2 linked regions of the Daphnia pulex genome follow. The protein of the gene in region 2 purifies or fractionates together with the protein of the main gene of each other region. This does not show direct contact. Links are inferred from orthologs where the notes say so. Each region holds a gene or a part of one and is shown on either strand. Other genes may lie near its edges. The genes, in order: eukaryotic translation initiation factor 6-like and protein BCCIP homolog.

Region 1 (3,358 bases), on a different chromosome or scaffold from region 2:
GAACAGGGAAGGTCTGGTCAAACCACGTCGCTCGGTCTCTCACTGTAACTTCCACTTCAACGGCTAAAACTCAACTGTCGCGTCCCCCTTTACTCTTCTATTTATTTAATGCCTTTCTCATCTGCCAGTTGGGGGGGGGGGGGGGGGGGGCGCCGTGGTATTTCAGGTCGACCTCGCATGGAGGTCAAGCTTGGGTTTTTCCCTGTTGAGAGATAGCAACTGCTTTCTCCTCTATACTCCTCCCTGGCTTGACCTTGCTGAATCGATGGCAACGAAGGTCGCTGATTTCCGTCAGTCAATGACCAGTGCTGCTATCGCTCTAGCCGATTCTTTACACGTCGAATCGGTACATCACTAAACTTAAGTTCTATTATAATTTCACTCTGGTATTTTTTTAAGCTTAAGTTATTCTTAGAATTTGATTTTCAAATTAAGCAATCTTGGTAATGCTCCATTCTAACCCTGTATCAAGGTTAGGATTATTGTACTTATAAATAAACAATATCGAGCAATTACGCAAAGTTCATTTGTTTAAACTAGGAACTACTTAAAGCCTGTATTAATTTACCAGTTATATTTCTAGTTACAACAGATTTTCAAATAATATGCAACTTTTATTTCTGTAGTCTACATCAACTTATTTCTGTAGCTACATCATCAGCACAGTAAAAAAGAACTTGTGGGTATTTTCAGTAAATATAAAAATGACATTTTCCAAAACTTGTTTATTCAACCGTTCTGATACATAATTTTTGGGTATCCCTTTTGCAATTTTTCCGAATTATGTCAGCCTATCAAAATTGAAAAAATTAATTCAACTGTTCCAATAAAAAACATTATATAGAATTAGTCTTACGTCTCAATTAGCGACTCTCTCATGTCTGTGGTAATGACGCTGGGTTGATTTGCTTCATTCAAACGGAAAACATTTTCAATAACGGAAATCTCCGTGGCTGTGGTGTCGAATCCGCAAAAAGCCGACCAATCATTCACTACTAAGCCGGCACCAATTACATCACTACCTCTGTTAACTGTCCCTGCCTGTAAAATGAAAAACACCTTATTGTTTATATGTGAACTTTGTCTTCTTTACATGTTCTAATGCTTACCACTAGAGGCACCTGCAGAAGAGAGCTGAGTTCATCTTGATCTGCCACAGTTGTTTTTGGATGGACAATACCACCCTGGTTAGAAAAAGCGCAATATGAACCAGTAAGGACAGAGCCAGCAATTGTATGACGGAAGACTTCAACATTTAAGGTATCTGCAAGAACTTCCTCTGTTTCTTTATCTAAATCTGGATGTACCAATGCAACATAATCATTGCATGCAATAACCTGTGAAATGCACAAATGATGAATTAGTAATCTTCATTAATTGATTGGCTAATGGGATTGACTAACATTTCCTAAAGCAGACAGACGTTCTTCAACACGCTGGATTTTGACAGAATCTGGTAAAGAGTTGCGAATATGTTGCAATTCCTGATCTGTAGTACTGTTTGGCAGCAGTAGACCATGCCTGTTAGCTGTTGAAAAGTAATATTTACGAAAATAACATAATTTATTTTTCAATATCTTCAAGAGACCCACTGTCAACTTTTGTATGAAGGGAAAACTCACCAACTGTCAACCGTCCAATTATCCTGCAGCCAGCAACTGATGTGTGAATTACTGGAATAGTGTCAGACAACTCTGATTCGAAAACACTGTAACATGAATCAAATGCAGCATGATAAATCACGAGAAATCCTATTGAAGATTTTTTAGAAAAAGACGCATGACACGTATATTTTACCTGTAGAAATTTTCTGATCCACCGATGGCAACCAAGCAATAAGCGTTGGTCAGTTTTGCAAAAACACCGACTTCATTGTTATTTTCAAATTGAACGCGAACTGCCATGATGAAAGTATTTCGTCAAACTAAACGATAAAGTAGTAGCGATGTGCGTGAGAGAAGTAATAGACGAACACTTAGTTTCACACGTGGGACGAGCGGGTACGAGAAGCAAGAGAGACGGATCTTAAATATCGATACATGTACGAACTGTGTAACTATCGATATAAACGTTTTTGTCGGTAGGGGATTTTTTTTAAAAAAAAGCACAACATTTTGAAAATCACAAAGCTCGATTGTCGATTCTTACTTGATTTTGTACTATACCTAAAAATTAAATAAAGGGTGAAAGAATTGACACTGACAATTTTGAGAATAGAAGGAACAAACCAAATTCAGTAGTTAATTGTAGTAATATGTATTTTCCGTACAATTTCGTTCATGGTTCCAACAATCTCACATTTAAAATTCATATTCCTCGCTTGATTGGCTTAGGAGATACAAGAACTCGTACAGGTTTACATAGTTCAATAATAAATGAGTCTTCTGAGAAACCTCGCCATCTTTTTAAAGCAGAAGGAACCTCGGGATCAGTAACATCCAAAACCAAAGAAAGTTCAATATGCGATGATTCTGTCCACACTTGATGTGATACCAAAACAGATGTTCGCAAACGGTGATCAGGAACGGAAATAATATTCTCACTCGAATCATTTTTAGGATAGTGTTTGATCATCTTCAGATGCGACTCTTGTGGTATAATTAGCTGAGCATTAAGATCGGGATATTTCACACGGACTCGCAAATACTCTGAATGAGCAAGTCCTTGAATTTCGGCGTCTAAAACCACTCCCAATACGAAGCCTGCCAGGAACTTCTGCGGATTATCCGATTCACCAGACGGTTCTAAAATGTCAGCGCTCAATTTAAAAGCCTAACAAGCAATAATAAATTGAAAATATTACCAAGTAAGGTACATTGATATTTCATAAATATATTTAAATAAATTACCTTGGCAGGCAGGCAGAATGGGGCAACATAAATATGAGCTTGAAGGATTGGAAGCAATATTCGCGACAATACACCTGGTTTAGTATCATCTACTCGTGCAATTTCCTTCACAATCGCTCCAGCAAAAGAAGGTAAATTTCCATATCTACAACAACTTGATTAATTAAATCTTATTTTTTTTAATCGAAGTTAAACGAAAAAGAAATTACCCTTTCAATGCTTCGACACGGGAAACGAAATGGTCTGATAAAGCCAACGCGGATGTGTTACTAGCTCTTACAATGTATACCAGCTGAATCGCCATAGCTTGTAGACGTGTGCTCTGAATGAGTAGCATTTCTTCAGTGGATAAATTACTGAACATGTACTGGAGTCTAAAATGAGAAAATGAGTAAATTTTGTTTACTCCTTCAATTAATGTAACATTAAATCTAATTACCTAAGACTTCGTCTCTGTAACTGGTCAATTAGATTTTTCACTACATCACCGTCTTGTACGTTTAAACTCG
Region 2 (3,417 bases):
TCCCCCATTGTCCTAAAGAACTCAGCAATAACCTCCTTTACACCAATTGGAGTCCTTGTCACCTAGAAAATTGTATTCTTTACGCCAACAGTTTCGAAAAAATTCGACTCGACACTCCCGATCGTTTCTTGAAGAGCTATCATTATCTTCATCGATCTATAGAAATCGTCGAGGAACTAGCTGTGCCCAACAACTTCCGGTTTCCCGACATTTTCAACGATCTTAGTCTCCACCATTTCCCCAGCGAACTAATCTACAGTGTTCATTCATCGTTTTGGGAATCGCCTGAACCTACATACCCTGCTGCTGAGACTGAGCTAATTAGTGAAAAATGAGCGCCAAAACTTTGCTCAGAGAATTGATTCGCGAGCTCCGACTAACCAACCATAGTCATAATTCTCTCTGGGAATCGCCAGCATATCAATTTATCTCAAAGAATTTTCGCCGAAATCAGGTCACTGCTGAGCAAACATGCAAAGCCCAACAAGAAAGTAAATACATGGCTGATACGTACCTTTGCTATTTGAAAAGTTCAAGAAAGGCTGCATCGCTGATACAAGAATTTCACGGCCAAGGTTTGACACAGTTATTCAAAACGAAGTTGTATACAAAATATCAATCCTTTTTTCTCTTTCAGGTGAACGCACAGTGCGTAGCACGGCTGACATGGTTGGATTCAAATTACCCCATGATCCCAAATAGATTGTGTATACCGATGTAGTTGAAAGGAATAATAAATGCAATTAATAGATTTTTTAAGTTATTGGTAATAATAACTAAAACAAACAGAAAACATGAATTTTATTCATTCGAGGAATTCTTTAATTTTAATCAACACCTCAGGCAGCTGCTTTGCGGTAATAAGGACTATCCTTCTTTTCGGATCGAATTGTTCGTCATCTTCGTCCCATGTCCCGGAAACTGCTGCATCTGACTCGCTTCGTACAGAATATTCTCCTAATATTTCACCCATCTATTTGACGAAATTTTATTACAACCTACTCTACTTAGGCGTGGAATTAATAGATGAATACCTCTGAAATTGGTTCTTCTTCTGCATTAACCCATAATATGGTGGCTCCTCCTTTGACTTTTTTTTTCCTTGATTCAGGATCTTTTCTTGTAGATTCATGAAGTTTGGAAATTAAAATGAAGTGTGTAAAGTCAAAAGGCTTTCCAGATTTTTTTGCTTCATCAATCTCCTTACTATTAACAAAATTTTACATTTAAACTTGGGATATAATTCAAATTAAGTCTTGTATACCATAGATTTTCCAGTAGGGGAACAGAAACTTGAGGTGGTATGTTTATGAACCTTTCATTGAATATAAGTCCTATCTGGTTAGATGGATCATCAAACAATCCACTCAGTTTCTTCTGTGTTTTTTCCAACAGGTACTTTTTTACTTCTTTAATACATTCCACATCCTAGGAAAAGTAAATAACAAAAAAAATTGGGTTAATTGTAATTTGTGTAACACAAATTCAAAATTTTATCTCACCTTGTGATGTGTCAAGTTAATTACAGAAGTAATTCCAAAAACTTCATCAAGAGAATTTCCTTCATCATCACTATCAGGTTCATCATTATCCACACATTGCTGAAGAAGTAGATATCTTTAGTAAAGTACACAAATTACATCTTCACAAGATTTTATTACCTGTAATATACTTCCAATGTAGTTTTGCTGAATGATGAGTTCCGTCAGACCACTTAAATTAATATGAGCCTTTAGGAAAAGCTGATGCATTAGACTCTTGATACCGTGAAAATCTTCAGCGATTGGTGATTGACCTTCAAAGTCGACTTGAATCTCTCGGTCGTTCTCTCCAAGTTGCTCATCTTCACCCATTTCTTCATCTTGAGAATCATTTTCTTCTTCTTCTTCCTCTGAAGAATCGCTGCTATCTTCTTCCATAGGCCGTTTAGTATTGAAATTCGCCATGATTTTTAAAGACAATTTTTCACACGTGTCAAAAAGTCAAAAACAAACTTAAGTTTGTCTGCTAGGAAGGGGTAGGAAGGAAGTGAAGTGAACATTCAAATTGTTTGAAATAAAATCTTAAAAATTGAGTTAAAAAATAGAATAAAATTGTATTAAATATTATAACAATTATAAAAATCAAATCATTACTATTTCAATTTCAATTAATTATAATTATTTTAATGAATAAAACTTTGAACGTGAATTGCAACGCCCTTTTACTTAGTCTGCTACGTTACAATAAAACGAAAAACGGAAAACTTCAAACCTTCAAACTTCTTCTTTATAAGACAGTGAATTTTATTGTATCTTTTTAAAATAAGCACAATGGAGTTTCAATCTCCAATTATTGCCGGTTCTAACTCAACTGTTACTGGCAAACTAAATCTTCCTGGTCGAAGAATAAAGCACTCACTCGAAAAGACATCAGACATGTTGGGGGCCAGTTGCCTCCCTTCTCCTAACCGACATAATACAATGTCTTTTATGTCTGATGATCTTAGCCACACTATTTTCGAAAGTGATCCTACATTTACGAGAATTGGTGCTGGTTTACAAAGGAAAAATCTGGATTCGACAAGAGCAGACTTAACAGTGAGCAATGTATCACGAAAGAAACGAAATGAAGAACTCATGAGCATCCTTCTAGAAGAAGAAGTTCCAGGAGTAGAAAATGTCTTAGAACTATTTGAGAGATTCCTCAAAACATTTCAGTCATATGGGGCAGAACATCAAGTGTTTAATCAGTGTGCAGAATATGAGTCAGAATGTGGAGAACAAGTATCTGCTTTGCGAAAATTGATTCAAATGGCCCCTCGTGGACACAACAAACTATCACAAGCACAAGAATTGGAGCAAGAACTGAGACTTGAGCGTGACACATGGAGATTGGTTGCATCTCTCTACCAAGATCGTTTAAACTCTGAATTTCATGACAGTGAAATGGAGTCTGATGAAATCTGGAGTGGATTGGATGATGTTACAAGTGAAGATGACTTGGTAAAACAACTCTATGACAAAAATGCCATAATCAGACAGGCTCAGCTCGTAGTCGATTGGCTGGAACAACGAGCGGCTGATGTCTATCACGATTCCCATTACAGCCAGGTATTTTTTAATGTAATTAAAATTTTCTTTTATTAAATAATATATTATACTCTAATTAGGTGGAGTTTTACGGAGATGCGGTTGCCGGCTGGGAAAATACTCTTCATTCTTTGGTCAGTAAAAAACGAGGGCTTAGTACAGATAACGTCGAGCAAAATATGGTTACTCAAATGGATCCCGATGCTCCTAACCGAGAACAAAACAGACGTCTTCACCCACTTGACAAAGAAGATGAAATGCGTTTGCTTCGTTCTGTATTTGCTCGACTCCGTTGTGGACAGCTGGATGAAGCCCAGCAGCTCTGTTTCCGAGCAGGTCAACCATT

The links.
Region 1: the proteins of protein BCCIP homolog (region 2) and eukaryotic translation initiation factor 6-like purify together in Homo sapiens (affinity purification with mass spectrometry; 3 studies listed by BioGRID and IntAct, counting the BioPlex papers as one, with this or other methods). This does not show direct contact. The link is inferred for Daphnia pulex from reciprocal best matches to the Homo sapiens genes BCCIP and EIF6.

What each region holds. Positions count from the first base shown.
Region 1 is NC_060025.1:5,263,457-5,266,814, forward strand, and holds eukaryotic translation initiation factor 6-like, read right to left. Parts: upstream 2,023-3,358; 5' UTR 1,905-2,022; coding exon 1,798-1,904; intron 1,709-1,797; coding exon 1,623-1,708; intron 1,529-1,622; coding exon 1,404-1,528; intron 1,338-1,403; coding exon 1,110-1,337; intron 1,042-1,109; coding exon 857-1,041; intron 792-856; coding exon 782-791; 3' UTR 711-781; downstream 1-710. Other genes in the region: integrator complex subunit 4-like, read right to left, coding at 2,308-2,772, 2,850-2,994, 3,059-3,223, 3,289-3,358. UniProt on the Homo sapiens protein: Binds to the 60S ribosomal subunit and prevents its association with the 40S ribosomal subunit to form the 80S initiation complex in the cytoplasm. Behaves as a stimulatory translation initiation factor downstream insulin/growth factors.
Region 2 is NC_060019.1:10,135,551-10,138,967, reverse strand, and holds protein BCCIP homolog, read right to left. Parts: upstream 2,113-3,417; 5' UTR 1,947-2,112; coding exon 1,662-1,946; intron 1,602-1,661; coding exon 1,503-1,601; intron 1,429-1,502; coding exon 1,265-1,428; intron 1,207-1,264; coding exon 1,035-1,206; intron 974-1,034; coding exon 806-973; 3' UTR 785-805; downstream 1-784. Other genes in the region: SRR1-like protein, read left to right, coding at 1-335; nuclear pore complex protein Nup107-like, read left to right, coding at 2,313-3,092, 3,152-3,417. UniProt on the Homo sapiens protein: During interphase, required for microtubule organizing and anchoring activities. During mitosis, required for the organization and stabilization of the spindle pole.